4 linked regions of the Cricetulus griseus genome follow. The protein of the gene in region 1 interacts with the protein of each later gene in a pairwise test. Links are inferred from orthologs where the notes say so. Each region holds a gene or a part of one and is shown in the gene's direction. Other genes may lie near its edges.

Region 1 (5,742 bases):
CCCTCCCCCATTCACAGCCCACCACCCACCCAGCCAGCAGGCGGGACTGTGCACACCGCCAAGCCACCCGCAGGGGGAGCCAGGGGGCTGGCTGCCGCCGGATGCTGCGGAGTGGAACGCGGGAGCGCACACATTCCCGGAAGTGTCCCCTGACCTTCCCTAGCCAATGGGAGCTGATCTGCCCTCCAAAAACCCCGCCTCCAGCCGCCGCCCACCCAATCAGGCGCCGGTATTCACGCGCCACGAACGGGGAGGTTTTAGGAATTAAAGGAGCCTCGACGAAGATGAGTTCCGCGCGGGAGAAGATGGACCGACCGCCAGGGGGCGCCTCAGTTCGGCTCAGAAAAAGGCGCTCCAGGCTCGCAAGATTGTGGGTTTTTTTTTTTTTTTTTTTTTCCTTTTCAAGTAGTGGCACAATGGAAAAAGGTCCAAGGGCTTAGGAATGCAGCGGGCAGAAGTTTGAATGCCAGCCCCTCTCTTCGCTTCTTTGCTCGGCTATTCTTAAACATATAAATTCCGTTTTATACATGAAAATGTAGAGTTAGGTAAAAAGCGATGCCTAGGATATGGCATTAACTTAGACATAGGGGCCTTCATCTTTAATACACTGAACAGTTCTGCCCAGGCCTCTGGATCAAGTGGCATTTATGCTTTAGAAAAGACATTAGGCAGATTCAGCCTCCTTTGGAAGAAATGGAATCCGGGACATAAAAAGCAAGTCTTTTCGCAGGGCATGTCCGGTTCCTATTTTCTTTTCTCACTGGATCTTAAAACACCCAGCACCTTTAGTGCCCTCGGGGTACTTGTCAGTCCTCAAAGGCAACTACCTCTTACAAACAAACGAGTTACAAATGCACTAATGTGAATTTTTTAAAAAGACAACATAACAAATACTGTTTGGCACCAGGTTAGCCTAAGGGGTAAATGTAATCTCGTTTCTTGCCTTGCTCGATCCCTTACCTATATAGCAGAGCGCTTTAAGCTCCACGGTGACTTCCAAGTCCAGGTTCTCTCCCACCCACACCCCCCAATCGCGCAGCTGCAACCTCAGGAAACCAAACCCTTCACAGTGTTTCAGGGCACGATTGAGTTTCTCAAGAGCCATCGAATGTGGCCGGGAGGCGGGCGACCCTTACAACACCCTGGGTCAGAGCTTTGCGGTGTGACCCTGCCTCCCTGCCTCCCTCCCTCCCCCCCTCCCCACCCCGCAGCCTTCCGAGTTAACCGCTGTGTCCCTTCCCATGACACGAGGCCGGGAGGCTCCGCGATGCTGACCACAGCAGCTCTGGAAACTGAGGGGCAGGGAGGACAGCAGCAGGTTACGCTGCAGCAGCAGCAGCAGCAGCAGTAGCAGACCGGTTGTCCCGAGGCCATCTCGCCCCGACGTTGCATCAGCTGCAGCGCCCGCCCGAGACCTGCGTTATCGCACACGAAGTGACATGGCCGGGCAGTACATCCACGGTCGCCCCAGATCGTTACACCTGGAGAGCATAGAGTCCTCCCTCCCAAATGGCTATCAAATCCCGCCGGGGGTCCGTTTCTAACAACTTCCGGGCAAGAGCGGAGGTCTAGCGAACCGGGGCCGCTCGCTTGGAGCGTCCGGTCGTCGCCGCCGAGTTAAACAAAGGGGCGGGGTTTGGTGACGGACTTCCGCCCCGTTGCGTAGCAGCGGTGGGCGTGGCAAAAGGGTCAGTCCGAGACGAGCAGGAGTGGTTGGAACCTTCTTCCCCATCCTTTCCTTCCCCTTCCCCTTCCCCTACGGGGAGAGGCTGAGAGCCGGCACCCAGGCCACTCCGCGGCCGCCGTGGCCTCAGCTGCAGCCCGGCCCCGCGTCCGGAGAACCCACTCAGTGTCCAGGGCGGTGCGTAACGCTCCTGAACGAGCTTCTCACCCGGGAGGGGAGGGGAGCGAAGCGGAGCGGAGCGGAGGGGGCGAGGTCCCGGTGGGTAGGCGCCTGGGTCGGAGGTGCTGGGGGTCGAGAGGAAGGGTGGAGGGGGGGAGGAGGATGGAGGAAGGGAGCTCTGCTGGGAGGAGTCGGGAGGCGAGCTGGGGGCTCAGGAGCTTGGGAAGGTCCTCTGGAGCAGGGAAGCCTTGGGAAGTGCGGGAGTGGCCTTGGGCTGGCCCGAGGACCGGGGAGGAGCAGACGGCTCGGCCTAGGGGACAACGTGGAGTTTAAATGGCAATGATTGACGGGCCTGGAGGCGAGGAGGGGAACGTTCTGGGGGCCAGCCTTGGCAGGAGCCACGGAACCCAAACCTCCGCCCTCCAAGCGCCATAGCTTGGCTTCTTTCCCATGCCTTGTCTTTGGCAGCCTTGTCTTTCTCTTTTATTCCTTCGCCGCTCCTCTCCCCTCCCACCCCTCCGTGGAGGACTCTTACATTCCTGACATCCTTGCCCCTGGATGATTTGCAGCCCCGCTCCCTCGCACGCACGATCCATCCACTCGCTTTATACGAAGCCCACCCCAGCCCAAGGAGGCAGAACAGTTGGTGGGTAGAGAGTAGGAACAGGAGAGAGCCGAAAGCGAGCAGGATTGAGCATGTTTGGGATCGGCACACACTTTTCCTTTAAAAAACTAGCTTCATCTCAACTGGTAGCAATTGTGGCGGTTACCAAGGCCACTGTTCTCAGAGACTGACCTGTGAGAATCTTGGCAGGTACTTCTTATACAATAGTGTTAGCTAATTACAGTGTTGCTGGCTGCTAGTATTTCCCTAAGAAGGAATGGGATTGGATAGTGGTAAGGGAAGGAGAGGGGTACATTAATGTTGATACTCTGTCACCAGTAGACCCTGTGACAGGGCCTGCTTCCCAGTAGTTGAAAAGGGGGAACAAGCAATTCCAAACATTTCCTCTGGTCCTCATTGTGAATTTATTGTGCCATTCTGTTGCTACAACTAATAGCAGTCTGGAATCTCCTTTCCTATTTATTTTGTCGTTTGATTTGCTGTATGTAAGATAGGGCAAATGTCATCGTCTGTTTGACAGTTGGAGAAACTGGTTGCAATGCCTTATTTGAAGTTGGTGGGTGGCAGAGCTAGGACTGGAATAACCCAAGACACCTCTCTCTCTCTCCTGCTTCTTTGCTTGGTCAATAACCCTTTATCTATTTTTTTAGATTAACCCCTATTAATTTGCCCATCACGGGAAGCTTTTTGATTTCTGGGTCTGGGTCTTGACCCTAGGAGACCGAGCATTGCCTATAGAACCTCTTCCTGGAAGCATTTTTTGAGATACAGGTGTGTGCCAGCTTGTTGGGAAATGGGGAGGAGAAGAACATCAACTCCACCACTCCTCTTCTGGACTGTGAAGAAGGGAAAGTGCCAGGTTTTACATCATCTCTCCTTCTGAGAGGACATGTGAACATGTAGTTGATGATGAGCACGGTGAACTAATGAACAAAGTACCATATTCTGGAGAATTTGTATTCTTTGTAAAAATCACCATTATTTTATCCCAACATAGCCCTTGAAAAAAAAAAATATATATATATGATACAGGAGTTTGATTAGTAGGAGTTTGGTTAACATTCCTGTACCTCTTTGAATCAAATTCTCAGGGCACTGGAAACTTGGACTTGGTTCTATCTCGGTAGGCATGCATCTAGTCAGCCCAGTTTAACTGCTATATCTGAACAAGTTGCCCACCCTGGAGCAACATCTCTACTTTTCCCTCCTTACCAATGATTTGAGGAAGGGTCTCATCCTGTAGTCCCTGCTGACCTTGAATTTGCAGTGATCCTCCTGTCTCAGCCTCCCAGGTGTTGGGATTACAGACTCCACCATGCCTGACCTTGTTTTTTTGTATCACCCGTTGCCTCAGGCCCCACTCCTCTTCCCTCCTTTTTCAAAGCCCGATTTCCTTCCAGAGTATTTCTCATTTTGCACCTATAGCAGCATTCTTGGGTGTCTATGTGTAAAGTAATGTTTTCCACGTGGAAGGCAGTACCTGGATTTTTTTGTTTTGTTTTGTTTTTTTTGTTTTTCAAGAAAGGGTTTCTCTGTGTAGCCCTGGCTCTCCTGGAACTCTGTAGACGAGGCTGGTCTTGAACTCACAGAGATCCGCCTGCCTCTGTCTCCCGAGTGCTGGGATTAAAGGCGTGCGCTACCACTGTCCAGCTTATACAGTGTTTTTTGTTTGTTTTGGTTTTTCGAGACAGGGTTTCTCTGGAGCTTATCCTGACACTCCATATGGAGACCAGGCTGGCCTCAAACTCACAGAGATCCACCTGCCTCTGCCTCCCGAGTGCTGGGATTAAAGGCATGCGCCACCAGTGTCCGGCCCGAACTTTTTAATTTTTTTGAGACAGGGTCTCATATAGGCCAGGCTAGCCTTGAATTCCTGATCCTCCTTCCTTCAATCCCAGGTGCTAGTATTGCAGGTGTCCATCAGCTTTCCCACTGTTTGCCTGATTTTAAGTATTATTTCAGACTGGGTCTGAACACAATTTAGAAATAGACTTCTTGATTTATTGAGACAGGAGGGTCTCTGTGTAGTCCAGCTGGCTTGAAACTCACTGTCTTCTGAGTTTTTCAAGTCTTGGCATTACAGGCATGCACCATCATGTCCAACTCAGGTTTCTTGTTTTTGTTTTCCTGTGGTACTAAGGATTGGGTCCCTGTGACCTGTAAATGCTGGGTATTGTAAATCTCTACTATTGAGCAGCATCTACAGCCCAGATTTTTTTGTTTTTGTTTGAGACAAGGTTTGGCCATGTAGCCTAGGTTGGTTTAAAACTTGCTATATAGCCAGAGCTGGCCTCGAACTCAAGAGTTCTCCTATTTTGCTTACTGAGTGTAGGGATTACAGGCATGAGCCTACCACCATCCATGGCCTCCAGAATTATTTTGACTGGAAATAATGTAAGTGAAAGCCCTTTGGAAACATTAAAGGCTAGTATAGGGGAAATATAGATTCACATATTGTATAGCCACCAATTTGGAGTTTTTGACATTACTTGTTATATGTGCTGAATAAAGAAGTATATACACAGGGGCTGGAGAGATGACTCCATGGTTAAGAGCACTGGTTACTCTTTTTAGAGAACCAGGGTTCAGGTCCAAACACCCAAATGGCAGCTCACAACTGTCTATAACTCCAGTACCAGGGGATCAACTTCAGGCACCAGGCACAGGTGTGGTACACAGACATATATGCAGGCAGTACACCCATATATAAGAAATGAGATAAAAATAATTTTGTAAAATTAATGTGTGTCTATACGTGTAGGTGGACTTTTCTTTCCTGCAAGCCAGTTCCCAAATAAGCACACAGAGACTTATATTAATTATAAATGCTCTGCCGTGGCTTAGGCTTGTTTTAGCTCTTTTAATTTAAATTAACCCATTTCTGTTAATCTATGTGCTGCCCCAAGGCTCATTTACTCATCTACATGCTTCCCATTCTGCTTGCTCTTCTTCCTCTCATGACTTCTGGTGTCTCCTCAGACTTTATCCTTCTTCCCAGCATCTTCTCTGCCCCGAAAATCCTAACTAGCCATCAGCCAATCAGCTTTTTTGTTAACTCAATTACAGTGGCATTTATTCGCACAGTGTAAAAGAATATTCCACATATATGTATGTGTGTGTGTGCATTTTAAGAAAGGGTCCCATGTACCCTTTTGAACTTTGGTCTTCTTGTATCTGCCTCCAGGGCACTAAGATGATAGGCCTGAATCACTGCCCCCTTATGTGGTGCTGGGATAAAGGTGTTCGCCACCACCGCCCAGCCGCTGCTTTCTCT
Region 2 (5,963 bases), on another chromosome or scaffold:
TCTCTTCCTGTGCTTGCCATTCACAAATGGGTGTCCTGTGTCTATACCCTGTGAGCAATTTTTACTCTTTTATTGATTTTGAAAGTTCTTTATATGTTAAGGTTACCTCTGAACATTATTCAGAGTAACCCATAGATCCCATGAGGGAGTAGGCACAGACTTTTCCAGGGTCTGAGCATTGTGTGTTTGTCCCTCATTGGGTTGAGTAGTTCTGGAGTTCGGTGGCAGGATGGGGCTTGTCTGCTCAGGCAGAGAGGGAGGGCAGTGGTGAGGAAAAGACAGAAGGGTCAGAGCTGAAAGTAGGAGCTATGAGTGACAGCCTTAATGGAAGGCAGATGGAGGAAACAGGATTGCCCTCGCTGAAAGGAAGGGTCAAGGGGCACAGGGCTTTCTAAAGACAGGAGCCTGGGGGACTGGCTGGTGGTGGAGCCTGGCTCCACTGTGTGATGCCTATGGGCTGTGAAAGGGCAAAGGTCAGTTTTCCTCCATCCTGCAAGTCTAGACCCTCTTAGGGCTCAGTGATAGAGAAGCTGAAGGGACTCTGAGCCACTGAAGGACAGTGTGTAGAGAGGCCCCACAGACACGGGAGAGTCTCTACCCAGCTGTGTTTCACTGAGCAATCTCTGGAGCCTCTCTGAGCCGGATTCCTTGCTCGTGAAAAGAATAGTGTTATTTATCTAATAGGATTTAGCAGAATCAGTTTGTAGAGTGTTTAGCCCAGCGCTAGGACCCAGGGACGCTTTCATAAAAGCAGGGCGTGCATTTGCATTTACACACGCATGTGTCCACACATTCCACAGTGTGTGCAGAGGTCAAGGACAACCTGTAGGAGTCTGTTCTCTCCTTCTGCCATGAGGGTCCCAGAGATTGAATTCAGGTCATGCGGCTTGGTGGCAAGCCTCCACTCTCTGAGTCATTTCACTGGCCCTGCTCTTGTTGTTACTCTGCCCCTCTGTCTGCCACTGGTGACATCAAGATGCCTTTCATTGGATCTAGGACTTTGAGAGCCCGGTGAATGATCAAGTTGTAGGTGAAGACACTGAGGCTAGGACCAGAAGGAACACATCTGGGCTCACCCGTTACAGAGGGTTTATAAAATGTTCTCTGAGTTCCACTGGTGCTCCTGGGGACCTTCAAAGTGACCTTATTTAGAAGAAGGGTCTTGAAGATCTCATAAGGGTAAACTGAAGCCACTCTGCATCAGGGAAGTCCCTATATCTAAGGGCTGGAGACACTGGGGAAGGAAGGGGTGCTTGGAACAAAGGCATAGTCCTGAAGCAGGAAGCCACGATGTCCAGTCTACATGGGCTGGGTGCCCCAGGCTCCATGCATGTCACCCAAGCAGCCTATGAACTGAGCTACATCCCCAGCCCCCAGACACACTTTGTTTTTTGTTTTCCATGTGTATGAATGTTTTGCCTGCGTGTATGTCTGCGCACCACTTTTGTGCCTGGTGGCCACAGAGTCCAGAAGATGGCATCAGATCCTCTGGGACTAGAGCAACAGATAGATGGCTCTAAGCCACCACACGCATCCATAACTGCTGAGTCATCTCTCCAACCCCTGGTACAGGTTTTTTGTTTGTTTGTTTTGGCCGTTATTCCTAGAAAAACCCAGTAAACAATTACTGACCTGGCATTTACACTGTTGGGTGCAGTTCGAGAGTTCAAGGGCAGCCTGGGCTACATGAGCTCCTGTTTTAAAACAAATAAGAAACTTTGTTTCCAGCCAGTCAACTCTTCCCCAGTGTCAGATGGCAGGTGCCAAGCAGAGAGACCACAAACCCTGAATACAAGGTTGGAGCACTGATACCGCCCCATAACTAGCCATCTAGAATCATCAGGGCCTTGATGCAGGAGTCAAAGTTGCAGTCTCTGAAATTCCTATAGGGTAGAAGCTGTCCGGTCCTGCTACAGTCCCTTCCTACTTTGTCTCTGCTCTTGCTTCCCAGCTCAGGGTCTAGGATTCAGGCAGGTGAGATTATACCCGTTTTACAGACCAGGACATGAAGGTTCCTTGACTCCTTCCAGCGAGAAGTGGGGAAAGTGGGCAGCCTGTTTGGCCAGGAGTCAAGGGACAGAGAATAAAGAATTGTCCCAGTGTCTGTGGGGAAGAGTTGGGTGCAGTGTCCTCATTGTGCCACGCAGCCTGCATGCAGCATGGAGACTGAGGTGGTTGCAGCTCTTCCTTAGGGAGTGGCTGCAGGGAGCAGTGTTCAGGCCCAGAACAGGGTCTGCATCACCTCTGGAGGGAGGCCGGCATTAGCCGGGCCGTGAGCCCAAGCGGAGCTGGGACGCCCTCTAGCAGCTAGCTCCGCGGGGGATGGTAGGGAGAGGAGGAGCCGGGGCAGTGAGGAGTGCCGTGAGGTCCTCCTGGGCCGCAGGGGGCACTGTGGCCGAACTTGAGCCCTCACACCGGCCAGCGAGAACCGGAAGTGGGTGTGGTAGAGTCACTTCCTGTGCGGAACCGCGGCCTGGGCGGAGGACTGGTCACTGGCGCTGGGTCTGAACCGGTAGATCGGGAGGAGGCGGCGTGTGGGCGTCGGGACGCACGGCCGTCGCCATGCCGTTTCTGCACGGCTTTCGCAGGATCATCTTCGAGTACCAGCCCCTGGTGGACGCTATCCTGGGCGCCTTGGGCATCCAGGACCTGGAGCGGCAGGAGCCCCTGGACGAGTGAGTGGCTGTGGTCCCTGTGGTTGTCGCAGCGGGAGCTGTGTGGCTCCGAGCGCGAGCTCCAGCCCGAGGCGAGCTCGCAGCGTCTTGCAGGGCAGAGGACCTGGGCTTCGGCGCCGCTCCCTGTGCATGGATGCCGGGAGGAGACGAGCTGGCTGTGGCCGAGCGCACTTTCTGCAGACAGCAGGCCTCTCTCTCTCTCTGAGATTCTCTGAGGAAGGAAGCGGGTGTGGTTCTTGTGCCCTCTGCAGAGCTCCCCGGGTATTTGGAGCGCTGCGACAGGCGAGCACCCAGACCTGCTGCGCGGTGTGGAATGCATGGGGTGGAGTGGGCAGAGGTGGGGCGTTGGGACAGTCATGAGAGGAATTGCAGACACTGTCAGTCTCACCGGGGAAGTCTTTTCTAAACCACATCAGCTCTTTCCTCTGAGGCCTACTCTGTAAGGGCATTGCTAGGCTTTTCCAGAACTCCGGGGCCGGGCTAAAGGGCTGCACATCAAGGCACTGCCGTCCTCCGTAGGCGGAGCCTAACATTCCGGAGGGCTGCCCCAGATAAGCTTTTTGTGTCCGGGCGTTGGTCGAATCTTGGGGCCAACCTATTACAAGAAGTCTGGTGGATGAGATTAGGGAGAAGAGCGAGTGATGAACTTCGTGGAGAGGTGGATCTGGAGGTGTTTGGGCAGTTGTCAGAGCTGGGCAAGGTGTGGAGCAGCCCCAAGCCCAAGAAGCTCTTAGTAGGTAGTGTTGACTAGGAAGGGTGAGAGCTTTGGGGCCTCCTTCTGGGTGGTGTGAGAGCCAGCTGGACAGAGCCAGCCATTGGTAGCAAGCTGAAGGATGGCTTTGAAACCACTTCAGATATGACCAAAAAAGGCTTCTGCCCCACCGAGTATGAGCAGTTTTTGTGGTTGATTGTGGAACAACACACAGGGTAGGGCAGCTGGTCCCCAAGTGTTACCACTGCGTCTGCTTTGCCTCTGATGTGCAGTTATGCCGCCGGCGAGGAGAGCCGCATCCTGGTCCTCACTGAGCTGCTGGAGCAGAAGGCCCACTCTCCATTCTACCAGGAAGGTGTGAGCAATGCTTTGCTGAAGATGGCTGAGCTGGGGCTGACTCGGGCAGCTGCTGTCCTTCTGCAGAGTGGGGCCAACCTCAATTTTGAAGGTCAGCAGGATCCCAGAGGGTCCAGGGCTAGGCAGCTAGGCCTGGCCTCTGCTTTTCCTCTTATCTGTGGGTGACTTTCCTTATTCTTTTCCTTCGGGTGGCTTCCTCACTCCTGTGGGCTTTCCAGGTGGCTCATAGCACCTCGGCTCAGAGTGGTGTTGCTTCTAGCATGTGATTAAGTTGCCAAACTTCCCCAGCTTCCAGATTAATCCCACTTCTATTATGGTGAAACTGCACCGGCAGTGCCCAGAGCTAAGGGAAGGTAATTTCCTGTGACTCTGAGCTGTCCTGCGGGTTTTGCTTAGATCCTAGAGGTGGGAAGATAAGCCATACTAGGCATCAGTTACAGCAAGCCTCATAGGTTTCTTAAGCATCCAGGATGATGAAGGGCCAACTTTCAGTCCTGCCATTCATTGGCTGTTACCCCAGGAGATAGAAACAGGTTGGACTGCCTCTGAACTAGTATGGGGCCAGTGCTGACCCACAACAGCCTTAGTGTCTTTCATTGGAAACCAGCTCAAAACAAGCTCAGACACTGCAGGCACCTGGGAACCCTGCAAGCAGAAGGGGGCATCTATTCCAAAGCCCTTCCATGTGGTCACCTGGCCTGGAAGCAGAAGGCTCTCTCTCTTGTGTGTGTGTGGTTTTTTCGAGACAGGATTTCTCTGTGTAGTTTTGTAGACCAGGCTGGCCTCAAACTCACAGAGTTTGCCTCTGCGGAGTGCTGGGACTAAAGGTGTGCAGCATCACCGCCCAGTGGCAGAAGATCTTTAGTGATTCAGGGATAGCTGGCAAGGTCAGGGCCTGCCAGGGCATTGTAATGAGAGCCTGGCTCAAGAACAAAAAGTGGCTGCACTGCCAGGCTTGAGCACAGCAGTCTCTCTGCTTGCTCTTGGGAACAGTCCTGAGAGGAAGTGACAGAGAGGAGACTGAGGCCAACACAGATAAGTTGCATACCCATTGGAACTCACCAGGACTTTAGGCCTAGCATCTGCACACTTGAGGTAGCAGTGCTGGGGAGAGGCTCAAGGCCAGGTCCTGAACCTTTGAGAATGGACTGACCTGTACTGCTTTCTGTCCAGACCCTGTTACCTATTACACAGCCCTGCATATCGCTGTCCTGAGAAACCAGCCTGACATGGTGGAGTTGCTGGTGCGCCATGGGGCTGACATCAACCGGAGGGACCGGGTAAGAGTCAGGTTCAGTCAGCTTGGGTGTATGTGGTAGATTTACCAGCCAGCCTTTCAGGCCCCAGGCCAACATGGCTGCTATCCCTTTTGGCTCAGATCCATGAGAGCAGCCCCTTAGATCTGGCCAGCGAGGAACCTGAACGTCTGCCCTGCCTGCAGCGCCTCTTGGATCTTGGAGCAGATGTCAATGCAGCTGACAAAAATGGTAAGTGCCTCCGTGGGAGGCTGACTATGCTAGGGATATAGCCAGGTGAGCATCTGGGGGCTGGCCCCAGAGGATGACATAGCCACAGCTGGCATACAGGAGGAGGGTACCAGCCTGCCTGAATCCAGCACCCTGGAGAGTACAGTCACTGTCTCCATGCTGCCTCAGAAGGCATCAAGGAGTGAGCATACTCTGTCTATGTGTGGATGCAGACAGGTCCTGACCTTGCTGACCCTCTTGTTCCTATTGTGTGAATGAAAATCCAGTAGCTCTTCCCTCAGTCTTGAGAATCTTGCTTCCACCCATCTGTGGGCACACTGGCCTCATCCTTCCTTCTCCTTCCTAGGGAAGACAGCACTGCTGCATGCTCTGGCTAGCAGTGATGGAGTGCAGATCCACAACACAGACAACATCCGGCTCCTCCTGGAGGGAGGTGAGGGTCTACATTGTCCACAGCAGCTGCCATGCCTTCTGCTCCATCCCCCTCACCCTTGTTTGGTAAGGATTGCTGGCCGCCTCTCATTTTTGTTCCATGGCTCTTCCAGGGGCAGATGTCAAGGCCACCACCAAAGATGGGGACACTGTGTTCACATGTATTATCTTCCTCCTTGGTGAGACTGTCTGTGGGGACAAGGAGGAGGCCCCGATGATCAACCGCTTCTGCTTCCAAGTTACACAGCTTTTGCTGGCCCATGGGGCTGATCCCAGTGAGTGCCCAGCCCATGAGTCGCT
Region 3 (6,014 bases), on another chromosome or scaffold:
TAATCCCAGCACTTGGTAGACAGAGAGAGGCAGAGTCATCAGGAGTTGAAGGTCATGCCTAGCTACATAGCAAGTCTGAAGCCAGTATAAGAGGACAGCCAAGTTGGGAAGATGAGGATTTAATAGTCTACAAAAGCAAGCTGAAAACTTCTCACAGATGGTACTGATTCTCCACAGTCCTTGAGGGCAGAGGAGATCAAGATCTGCCCATCTCTCTGTTGAACTCCTTCAAGAGCCTGCCCTAAGGCTGGAGAGATGGCTCAGTGGTTAAAGGCACTGGATGCTCTCCCAGAGGACCCAGGTTCAATTCTTAGCATGCACATGGTAGCTCAAAACCATCTGTAATCCCAGTTCCGGGGGTCCAGCAAACTCTCTGACAAGAACCAGGCATGCCCATGATGCACAAACATACATGTAGGCAAAAAAAAATAAAATAAAATAAAGAGCCTGCCCTGAGTTCAGGAGTGAACCAAAGGTAGACTGAGTCTCTGGGAGCTGAAATCCAACCTGACCCAGTACAGCCCTAAGATGAGGGGATTTCCTGTCTGCCTAGTTCACCTAGCAGAGAAAGGGAGCTTCCTTGGGCAGATGGTCACATTCTATGCAGTCTTTGCAATTTCAGCATGAGATTTAAGAAAAAAAAAAATGACTAGACCTGCAAAAAGGTGGGACCATATGCCTGGAGTCGGGAGGGGAGATCCAGATAATGATAGATTCAGAGATGGCCCAGGTGTTGGCGTTTGCATCAAGGACTTTAAAATAAACACATCAATGTATTGAGAAAGTAAAGGGGAAATGGACAAAACAAGCAAAGGGAAGAATACCTCAGGGATTTCGAATATTGATTGACTGATTTTGATTGAGACAGGGTCTCATTTAGTAGATTCTAACTGGCCTGGAACTCACTTTGTAGATCAGACTAGCCACAAACTCACAGAGATCTTCCTGCCTCTGCTCCCAGGTACTGGAATTAAAGGTGTATGCCACCATGTCTAGTCTTGGAGTGCATTTTTAAAATATGAGATATGCTAGATTTTAAAAATAACAGAGGCAGGAATGGTGGTGAGTCTCAGAACTGGGGAGACTGAAAAAGGAGAAGCTACAGAGCAAAACCAGGTAACTAATTAAAACTCCTTCCTTCTTTGTTCACTCCCCCACTCCCCACACACAAGGCACTGAGTGGATAATGTAACAGCAGATAGACTGTATTAACCAGCCACATCAGTGAAGTAGAAAACAGATCAATTAAAAATGCCCAGATTGGGGCCTGGAGAAACGGTTTAGTGTTAGGAACATCTTCCCTTCCTCCAGGCCTGCTTCCAATGCCCAGCAGCCATAATGTGTGTGGCTCATAACCACTGTTCTCCAGCTTCAGGGCACCCAACACCGCGGGCACCTACACTCACAGGCACACCCTTTCCCCCAACAGTATACATAATGAAAAATAAAAAGTAAATCTTTAAAAAAAAAGTCCATTAACCACTACTTTGAGAGCAGTACATTCCCAGTCATCTACACTTGCTATCATGACCTTGGACAAGCCACTTGACTTTGTTGAACCTCAGTGTCTCCTTCTTTAAAGATAAGTTTAGATGAGATATCTTATGAAAAATTGCTTAGAAATTGTTTTGTTTTAAAGACCTATCTTAGTGTGACCAACTCTGGGAAAGCCTGTTAGGATCAAGACTTGGACCTGTGTGTTACACTCCAGTTAACTTTTATCTACTGGCATTCAAGGAACCCCTAAGGATATGGATATGACTGACCCAGGAGCCATCTGATACGTGCTGCATTCATTCATTCATTTCATTCATTCATTCATTCATTCATTCACTCACATTGGACATACACTTCACGGCGGCGATTCTGTTAACCAGAAATACAAAGTAGAAACATATGCTCCACATGACCCTCTCTCTCTCCCAGGGTTTGTGGTCTCTCTGCTTCTTTTCTCATTTGAGGTCAAGGGAGGTAACGGCCCAGCATCAGGCTCCTGTGCCAACCCCTCCGGTCTCCCTGCTCTCACCAGTATGACTAGTCTATTTATTAATTAGCCCTCTACCTACTCCCCAGGTCAGAATCTCCTCCTTCCCCTCGGAAGCAAAGGCCCCACTGCTGGTGGAAGTATTAACTGGTTTGGCTAGATTTCAAATGGGAGGTGGGTATGGTGGGGAGAGGGCAGTTCCCCTGGGAATGTACACATGGCTAGTCTTTAAAGAAACTTTGGTACTTGGTATCTTCGGGGCAATAAAATATCAGTTTTGGAAACCATTCTTAGGAGAGAGGTTTTCCTATCAGTAATGTGAAAGATTCCATCTTAGACTCTTCTGTTGTCAAGTGTCTGAAATTACCTTTTGTCGTGGTTGTGTGTCTGCCCTGGTCAGAACAGCCCAGGAGCAAACCCAACAGGACAGAGGAAGTGCCCTGTCTCCACCGGCTGTGTCTGGAGAAACGGTCCACTGTAGAGTTAATGCTGTCTCCCTTGGGTTGTCTCCCGCAGGTGATTATAAACAGCACCATCACCCCGAACATGACTTTCACCAAAACCTCACAGAAGTTCGGCCAGTGGGCTGACAGCAGAGCCAACACAGTGTTCGGCTTGGGGTTCTCTTCAGAGCAGCAACTCACAAAGGTATGTGCCCTCCTGGCATTACAACAAAGGCATGTGCCCTCCCGGCAGTGTAAGGAGAGTGGTTGGATGCCCTCTCTCCCTTAGCTGCTCTCTGTGGCGCTGTGTTGGAGGAGGTGCCCTCTCTCAAACAGCAGACTTCTTGAAAACTGAGTGGTCTATGGCGGAAAGGAAGTTCATCTCCAACAAATGCTGTTCCCTTGGAAGCTCGAGTAGCCCGACTGGCCTGGTGGTATTTTGGGCATCCATTAGACCCCTTATTATTTCCTGAGGCTGAAAAACTTCCTTATCAGAGTCCAGAAACACAGGGCAAGAAGCAGAAGTGTTGAGGTCAGGTATAGTTAAGATATGAAATGTGTCATCCCTGGTTTCATGCTGTTTGGGAATACTGTGGAATCTTCAGGATGTGAGACCTTGGTGAAGGAAATGTGTCTCTAGGAGCCAGCCTTGAGATTTTATAGGTTGGCCTCACTTCCTGTCCACTCTTGGTGTGGCCAGATTTTTCCTTCCCAGCCAAGATGATCCACACCCCTTTTTAAGTTATGACCTCTTCCTCCCTTACACTGTTTCTTGTTGGGTGTTTGGTCACAGCAATGAAAAGGGTAACTGAGTTACTAGGACACTGACTAGGATGGGACTCTCCTCCGCCCCATCCCACTCTGCTGGACTTGGGGACTGTGACTCTGGAAGGTGGGATACTCCAGTAGGGATAAGCACAGTGCCAGCAGAACTCTGCTTGATAAAGCATCCTGGCCACCAGACTCCTGCTTCTCTGCATCTGAGAAGCTGCCATCTCCACAGACTCCCGAGGTCTGCAGCAGCAGCATGTGGTACAAAAGGTACAAGATGAAGGTGTGAGGAGCAGGGCTGGCCGAAGCATGGCTGTCTCAGAAGTATGATCCCTAGTGAAGTAGGGGCCCAGTGTGGCCAGCTTCTCCAGGAGCGTGTGCTTCAGATGCTCACTGCTGCACCATGAATAGCTGGATGCTCTGTGGGGTCAGAGGTCAGGGTGACTATGGAGAGCAGGAATGTGTCTTGAGTAGGCCATGTGACACCTTTTCCTCTGGCACTATGACCAGGTCTTTTGATCCTGAGGAGGTTGTACCTGGGCACCCGCAGAGCCCTTACATGACTTGAAAGATGCTCTTCTGAAGAGTAGGGATTCTTAAGGGGCGGCCACATGGAAATATGACTGTTTTTAGGCTCTGGTTACACTTGAGTCCGGTGACATTGCTAGCCCCAAGTCTGTCACTAGTTAGTGACAAAATTGCCCAACTCCGTTTCTTCCCTTCCCATATACCTCTGACCTCTTGACCATTTTCCAGGGTCCAGTGTAGATCTGAAGCTGGGCCACTTTCCTGGTGTCCTTGGCTCAGTAGGGTGTTCTAAGGCATGCCCCCAGGGGTGTCATGTTGTCATTCCAGCAGCAGGAAGAAGCAGTCATAGCTCCAGCACTGGCACTTTAATATGTGCTACAGAGGGAAGCTGCAGGCACCTCACCAAGTCTTCTCTGACATGACTGCTACAAGTCAGCTTTTGGCTGGTTTTGTAGGGCATGCTGGGATTTCTGGATTTTATTTTGTGACCATAGAAGGATTTAAACCCAAAAAGTCAAGTGATCAGATTTGCATTTCAGATATTCTTCAAGTGAGTCGGATTCATTTCAGGGTACAGCTGATGAAGAGTTGAGTAAGAGGTGGGGAATTTTAAATAATTTTTTTTTAATTGGCAGACCTTGGTCAGACAGGAGGGAGGCTGAGACTCTGGGATGATGATGGATGGAAGACAGCAACACCCTCTTCTACAGTGGGGAGTGGGACAGGTGTGGTGTGATGCTGCCTGAGAGTGAGTGGTCAGGACCTCTATCTGAAATGGAGCAGGGATTCGTGTGGTTTCCAACCCACAGAGCTGCCTGGTGGGGAGAGGAGATGCCAGGATCCCCCTTATCTTACCCAGCACTCACCCCCATAACTTCCTGATACCTTCGAGCCTCAGGCTGTGGGGAAGCATCCAGTTGTATCTCAGCACATACCTCTGCTTCTGTCTATGGCCAGAAGTTTCTGGAGCCTGGGATAGTCTGAAAGAACCATTCATAGCTTCCTGGTCCAGTGTCTTTCATTCTGTAGAGGAGACAAGGTAGTGAGGACAGATAGAGGGGAAAACACCCGTGGAAAAGGATCAAAAGGAAAACTACAAACAAAAAGTAGGACAGAGGAGAGTTCGGTTCTTCCTGCCTTGGAGAATTGAAGAGACCTTGACTGTGCTACTTCCAGTTCCTCCCAGACGAAGAGAATAACCTATTATTAAGGAGGAGTGTCCCGTCTTCCTGAATCACTTGGTCTCTGGCAGCACTGGCCTCTCTGCTCTGTGACTGTGACCCGCCATCATCACAGAGACTTCTGAAACAAGCTCTCAAATATGTCCTTTGTCCAAAATATTTCAAATCAGCATTTCCTTTCTCTTTGAAGGGGCCGATTAACCACACACTGATAAATTGCCCCGAATAGAGGCTAGCAGCCAGGACAAGTGGCAATTAGGTAGCACAGAGGGAACCTGGGCCTGAGGGGTTCCTGAGGCTTGCATGCTGGAGGGCAGCTGTGACTGAATATTCCTGGCTTCTCAGCACAGCCACCCACAGACCTACAGGGGGATCGGTAATCAGGCCTTGTGGGCAGGACAAAGAAACACCAGTGTGGACATTTTCACTGAAGAGTGCTTTATATGAACTTCTCTCTCCAACCCCCAGAAAGAAAATAGATACCTTGTTCTTAGCTCTCACGTAGAAGGACTGCTCAGCAGCCACAGCCCAGGAAGTATCGCACAGAATCTTTCTGCTCTTTAGACAGGCTTTCCAAAAATAATAAAACTGTATATTCCTGGAATGGAATTGGGGTCTGTGTGTCCACTGGAGAAGACACGATAACTCACTCAGCCTACTGAGGAATGTTGGAACGGAGCGTACATTCTCTGCTAAGATGAGGTCATGGGAAGAGACAAAGGTAGAACCAGGTAGAAGAGCGAGTGAGTCCGTCATTAACATTTATTCTTTCTGACCTCTGACCTCACATGCCCACCGTTCTGGGCTTGCTTCCTTCCCATTCGTTGCAGACAGAGGAAACATGTTCTTCCATTAGGGTGAACTGCCCAAAAGAGAATTTTCACTGCTGTATGGTGGATGCATCTCAACCCACATGCCTATGTGGTGTTCGATTTCAGCTTCAGTACTTTAATTGGAGTGTGCTAATTATCTTAATTGTCATTGACTTAATGGAGAATCACCTGAGAAGGCTCTCAATGAGGGCTTGTCTATGTTGGGTTGGCCTGTGGGCATGTCTATAGGGGGTTGTCCTATAGAACAAGGACGGCAGTCCACTGTGGGCAGCAC
Region 4 (5,852 bases), on another chromosome or scaffold:
TGTCATAATCTTATCATTCTAAAATTGGTCCACTGTCTGGCATGGAAGCACAAACCTTTAATCCCAGAACTCGGGAGGCAGAGGCAGGTGGATCTCAAGACACTTTATCTAAGTAGAGGTCCAGGACAGCCAGGGCCACAAAGGAACCCTGTCTCAAGAACAAAAACAAAACTGGCCTACTATTATGATTAAGTTGTACTTACTGGCTATTACTTCCATCTTTTTTGTAGTATTTAAAATTCTAATTCTGCCAGGTTGTGGTGGTGCTTGCCTTTAATCCCAGCATTCGGGAGGCAGAGGCAAGCAGATCTCTTTGTGTTCAAGGCCAGCCTGGTCTACAGAGTGAGTTCTGTAGTTCTGGGACAGGCTTCAAATCTACACAGAGAAACTCTGTTCTCAAAGACCAAGAAAAAAAATTCTACTGCTATATGATTTTTTTCCCAAGACAGGGTTTCTCTGTGTAGACTTGGCTGTCCTGGAGCTTAATTTAGACCAGGTGTGTGCCACTATCACTCAGCTTCTATGTGAATTTTTAAACGACCCTTCTCCAATAACCTATAAGCTTCTAGTGTGGGAACAATATATGTTTTATCCCTTACTGCATCTTTAGTACCTAGCATAGGGACTGACACTCAACTTTGTAGAAATGAACACATGGATTAATGAGGCATGTCAGAAGAATCACAGCTCTTGTGAGCAAAACATGTACTTCCACCCAGGAAGACACACACCCTGGTAGCTATCAATGATGAGGAAAATGGAGAAAGCACCAGCCACCTAGTGGATGGGAGAGGAAGAAGCCCCCATGTTGTACCGGATGTCTAACAAGTGGTGGGAAATGGGTTGGGATTTTCCTCTGGTCAGAAAAATACTCCTGTCTTTGCAGTTCACATGTGACTTGCTTGCTTTTAAATTGGCAATTTCCATAAGAAAGAGCTATTTGAGGATACTGTTCTACTTGAGCTATGACAAAGCCCAATCATTTTATTCTTAATTTATTCATTTTCAAAAGTTTGAGTATACACAAGTATTTCCTGATGTGTGAAAACTGTGTGAAATTGACATTTCAGTGTGCCCAGAAATAAATTTCATCAGTTCCAGAAATCTAAAACATTTGTTACCTAAGCGTTTGCCTACCCCATGGGCTGGATGACAGTCCCAGGTAAGACTGGGCAGTAGGGTGGATTCAGACCACAGACCCCTCTCTTCCTCCTCTAAATAGGGATATACCTCCCCAACTCTCTCCTTGGACAGAGACATGACAAGAAAGAGAGAGTGATGTGCTGTGGCCTTGCAATTCTGTCCCTCCTCTGTAAAGCTGCAGGACAACTTTATATTCATTCCTAGCTCCTGTGTCCTTGCTTATTAGCACATAGGCTAGCATAACTCACCTCTCTCTCTCTCTCTCTCTCTCTCTCTCTCTCTCTCTCTCTCTCTCTCTCTCTCTCTCTCTCTGTCCTACTAACGCTCATCTGAGGGGTAATTCATGCCAGCTTCCTTTCTACGGGCCTGTCATTCTTCCACAAGTTACGACAAGCGGCAATTCCCCACGAGTGGTTATGCTAGTCCTCATTAAGATCGAGTCCCTACAAAAGCTTTTAAGATAAGCACTAGTCGGCTACCAGGAAAAACCGCTAGCGGCTCTTACCAAAGTAGTCAAGCCAATTCATCTCGCGCAGCGCCTTGGGGAGCCGAAGGATCTCGATGTTGTATAGGTTCTCCACCTCCTTGAGGAGGTTCTGTCTGTCGGACTCGATTTGATTGATTCGAATTTGCACTGCGGAGAGATCAAAGCCGACGGATCCAGTGTCAACAAGAGGGCGAAGCCATCGCACCCGCGCCCCAACCCGCCCGAAATTCTCGAAGGCCGCGGATCCGCCCCTTACCCTCGCGGTCGAAGTCCTTAAGGAAGGAGGCGAGCTTGCGGCTCCGCAGCGCGTTAGCTCTGGCGCCCCGGCTGCTGCCCTTCTTGGGAGCCATGGCGCCGGGGTGAAGGCTGCGTCGAACGAAGGACCGAGCAGCCGGCTCAGCGGCTGAGACGGGGAAAGAGGACGTGAGCGCTCACGGAGCAGCGGGGGTTCAGTCGTTGGAGTCTGGTACCCAGAAGTCTGCGGACGTGTCCCTGCAGGCGCCGAAACACAGACCCAGGAAACCTCGCAGCTCCAGCTGAGGGAGAGGTTGCGCCTCCGCTAACCGCCACCCAATTCAAACTCAACGGATACAGGTTGGCCAATAACAAGTCGCCGTCTTGGGACGGTTCTCTCACCGCCCAATCACAACAAAGCTTCTTCATCCCGCAACCAATCTCTATAGAGGACTTCAATGCCCAGAGGACATTGCGGCCTACGCTTTCTTTTCGCGACTCCAGAGTCGCGCTAAGTGGAACTAGACTGTAGGGTTTGCTTTTGAGCATGTGCAGAGAGTGCCAAGCGCAGTGTGGTTCTTGGTGTCCACTTAGCTTTGGCTACCCAGGATTTGAGTTTTCCTGCGGATTTAGGGACACGGCTGGCAGTCTCAGAGGAGATAAGACCCTGGCTCCAGAAGCAGGAGTTCGAGGAGAGACAGGCCCCAGGGACTCGCAGTCTAAAGCGGAAGGTTGCCCTGTCCTTTGGAAGCCTCTTTTGAAGACTTCTAGGACCCCCTTCCTGAGGTGAGAAGCAAGGGTCCTTCTGCAGAGAGAGCTGGTAAGAGGATCGCCAGAGCCTCCACTCTTGAAAGTCAGCGGTGACAAGACAGAGCCACAGCTTCACCCTGCCACCCTCAGCAGCGTGAGGCGTTCCCCTAAGCTTTTAGAGACTGCAGCCCAGTTGGTGGCTTTGAAGCTGCAAAGAATTCAGGGCTAGCCAGTTTAAGAAGCAGAGTTATGGGTGGGAGGGGGAGCTGTGGTTGGAATGTAAAATGAAATTAAAAAGTTAAAAACATGGAAAAAAGCAAAATCACACACACACACACACACACACACACACACACACACACGAGAGTAGGAATGTAACACTGTCTGGCCTGGAACTCTCTATGTAGACCAGGTTGCCTCTATCTCAGAGACCTGTCTGTCTCTTGACTCCTCAGTGCTGGAATAAAGGTGTATGCTACCACGCCCAGCCTAAAGTTACTATTAATTTTTTGTTTGTATTTTGAGACAAGGTTTCTCTGTATTGTTTTGGAGCCTGTCCTGGAACTCGCTCTGGAGACCAGACTGGCCTCGAACTCACAGAGATCGGCCTGCCTCTGTACCCTGAGTGCTGGGATTAAAGGCGTGTGCCACCAACGCCCTGCTTTTTTTTAAAAGTTATTTTTAATACAGGCTTAAGGACGAGGCTTAAGAGAGAGGCACCTAGACAGAAAATAAAAGACACTTGCAGGCTACTCAAAAAATTAAGTATGAAATAGCGAAGTGGGTGTGGGCTTCTCAGGGAGAGGCTGCAATTGATTGTCTTAACATTAACCATGTATAACTTTGTTGACTTTCAAGATATATCTCAAGAGGGTTTCTTAAAAAAAAAAAAACGTGGGGGCTGGAGAGATGGCTCAGAGGTTAAGCGAACTGACTGTTCTTCCAGAGGTCCTGAGTTCAATTCCCAGCAACCACATGGTGGCTCACAACCATCTATAATGAGATCTGGCACCCTCTTCTAACAAGCAGGCATAAACATAATAAATAAATAAATCTAAAAAAGTCCGAAAAACAAAAAAGCAAACCAACAACTTGTTATTACCTCTCTCTCTTCTTTTTATAAGTGAAGTGGTTTCTGAATTATAATCTAATAAAGTGAAACCAGGAGCTACTTTGGTTGTCAAGGGGTAGTACTCTGCTTTCTCTGTAAATGGGATTTCTGGTGAGATTTCTACAAGATTGAAGGTTTACATCTGGGAAGGGAGGAAGGCCTTCAGCAGTTGGTAATTGGACTGCTGGGAGTATTCTCACTTCTTTGTTGACCAGAGGCATCAACCTGCTTCCAGGATGAGGAGGGCCCGTTCTTTTTCACATCCCCCAAAGTCTTCCTACCTTTCTATATTGCCTTAGGACTATTTTAAGATCAAAAGCTGGCCTCATGAGGTCAGAAATGACTCGCCCTTGAACCAGGCCCTCCCCTTCTGGTACCCTGACTCTTGGTTTTGTCTTCCCAGAAGATGGCTCAAGACCAGCCTTTGCTGGCTGTGCAAGAGGTCCTGAGGAAGTGCTTCCCTGTGGTGCAGGAGCAGCAGGACTTGTGGCAAAGCACTCTTCAGGGCTGCTCGTCCCTCCTCTCCTCTCTCAGCAACCTGGCTGAGCAGCTGCAGGCTTCACAGAATCTGAGGTTTGAGGACGTGCCGGCCCTTCGTCCCTTCCCAGACTTACAGGAGCGGCTGAGGCGCAAGCAACTGGAGGCTGGCGACATTGTCCTGGACAAGCTAGCTGAGAGGCTGTAAGAGACTCTGTGGCCCGCTTTCTTGGTAGAAAGATCTTAAAGCTTCATGACATCCCATCCCCAATCAGGGTGGGCCTACAAAAGTTACAAAAGCAAGCTGGTCATTCGGGGGAGTAAGGTTGAAGGACTGTGAGTTTGAGGCCAGCCTGGGCTATGTTATAAGACCTTGTCTCAAAAACAAACATACAAACAAAATATCAGGTCGAGTGTGGTGGCGCATGTCTTTAAACTGAGGGTAGTCAGGAGGCAGAAGCAGGCAGGACTCAGAGAAACCCTGTCTCATAAAAAAAAAAACGAATGAAAAAAATAACCCCAAACCAACTAAATAAACAAAAGTAATTACAAAAGCAGAAAAGAAGGGGACTGGAGAAAATGTAGTTTTCTGTAGTTGTCTTTAGTATGCTGTAGGGTTGGTAAGTGCTAGAAATAAGGGCTTTGTGTATGTTACCTTATACACCTCTGGCTTAACCCTGTTCATACACCTGGAAGCACAAAAACGGAAAGTCAAATAGATGTCTGATCACATAGCCAGTGAGGGATAGAGTGGGGATTCTGAAGTGTGTTTACCACATTAGCTGTGGCTTTCTACCAGGCTTTGTTCTACACATAGGTGGATACATGTGTAACTGAAACAGCCCACCAAACAGTAACACAGGTGTTGCGCTGATACTTTGTTTACTGTTTGTTTTATTACTGTTCATCACAGTCTTTAAGCTAGACTCAAAACTTGGCAGGTTTTGGATTGTTTCCTGTTTTTACACAGTTGGACATTTTAGAGCCCCAATTCGGGGCTAGGGGATTCTTTGGCCTTTGGAAAGTTACAGCCCTTGTCTTGGTTCCTTAGAGTTATAATACCTAAGCAGCCAGTGGTGCATGCCTTTAATCCCAGCACCCTGACTGAAACCCTCCTCCAAAAAAAAAAAGAAAGAAAGAAAAAGAAGAAGAATACCTAGGCACTACCAAAATCACTTTTCCTTCTTCTTCTTCTTTTTTTTTTTTAACCCCAAGACAGGGTTTCTCTGTGTATCCGTGGCTGTCCTGGAATTCGCTCTGTAGACCAGGGTGGCCTCAAACTCACAGAGATGCACCTGCTTCTGCCTCCTGAGTGCTGGGGTTAAAGGCGTGCGCCGCCACCACCATCACGGGTACAAAAGCACTTTCTACACATCATCATTATTTCTCTTTCTCATTCACTGCTACACTGACTGTGTGTGCTGTGTGTGTGCTCCTGTTCTTGGGAGACACAGTGAGCAAAGGAGCCTTTATATAAGGATTAACTCACTTTCCCCAGCAGTCTGCACCCCATCTACGCTGTCATTCAAGAACTGGATTAAAAAAGGGTAGTCAAGATGGCTCAGTCCCCAGATGGTTCAATCTCCAGAACCCACAGAAAGATGGAAGGACAGAATGGACACCACAAAGTAGCCCCCTGACCTTCACACA

Evidence for each region. The genes of interacting proteins can lie anywhere in the genome.
Region 2: the proteins of Rnf41 (region 1) and ankyrin repeat and SOCS box protein 6 interact in binary tests that used the Homo sapiens proteins (3 or more experiments, as listed by UniProt). The link is inferred for Cricetulus griseus from reciprocal best matches to the Homo sapiens genes RNF41 and ASB6.
Region 3: the proteins of Rnf41 (region 1) and Homer2 interact in binary tests that used the Homo sapiens proteins (3 or more experiments, as listed by UniProt). The link is inferred for Cricetulus griseus from reciprocal best matches to the Homo sapiens genes RNF41 and HOMER2.
Region 4: the proteins of Rnf41 (region 1) and CUNH1orf109 interact in binary tests that used the Homo sapiens proteins (3 or more experiments, as listed by UniProt). The two-hybrid records come from large-scale screens. The link is inferred for Cricetulus griseus from reciprocal best matches to the Homo sapiens genes RNF41 and AIRIM.

What each region holds. Positions count from the first base shown.
Region 1 is NW_023276806.1:129,470,096-129,475,837, reverse strand, and holds the start of Rnf41 (E3 ubiquitin-protein ligase NRDP1), read left to right. Parts: upstream 1-1,678; 5' UTR 1,679-1,942; intron 1,943-5,742. UniProt on the Homo sapiens protein: Acts as E3 ubiquitin-protein ligase and regulates the degradation of target proteins. Polyubiquitinates MYD88. Negatively regulates MYD88-dependent production of pro-inflammatory cytokines.
Region 2 is NC_048599.1:142,506,400-142,512,362, reverse strand, and holds the start of ankyrin repeat and SOCS box protein 6, read left to right. Parts: upstream 1-2,449; 5' UTR 2,450-2,562; coding exon 2,563-2,675; intron 2,676-3,659; coding exon 3,660-3,835; intron 3,836-4,917; coding exon 4,918-5,024; intron 5,025-5,122; coding exon 5,123-5,231; intron 5,232-5,577; coding exon 5,578-5,664; intron 5,665-5,776; coding exon 5,777-5,963. UniProt on the Homo sapiens protein: Probable substrate-recognition component of a SCF-like ECS (Elongin-Cullin-SOCS-box protein) E3 ubiquitin-protein ligase complex which mediates the ubiquitination and subsequent proteasomal degradation of target proteins.
Region 3 is NC_048596.1:115,890,500-115,896,513, forward strand, and holds the start of Homer2 (homer protein homolog 2), read left to right. Parts: upstream 1-2,500; 5' UTR 2,501-2,530; coding exon 2,531-2,632; intron 2,633-6,014. UniProt on the Homo sapiens protein: Postsynaptic density scaffolding protein. Binds and cross-links cytoplasmic regions of GRM1, GRM5, ITPR1, DNM3, RYR1, RYR2, SHANK1 and SHANK3.
Region 4 is NC_048595.1:28,116,338-28,122,189, reverse strand, and holds the start of CUNH1orf109 (uncharacterized protein C1orf109 homolog), read left to right. Parts: upstream 1-2,338; 5' UTR 2,339-2,684; intron 2,685-4,128; exon of another isoform or gene 4,129-4,131; coding exon 4,132-4,406; intron 4,407-5,852. Other genes in the region: Cdca8 (borealin), read right to left, coding at 1,649-1,777, 1,887-1,980. UniProt on the Homo sapiens protein: Part of the 55LCC heterohexameric ATPase complex which is chromatin-associated and promotes replisome proteostasis to maintain replication fork progression and genome stability.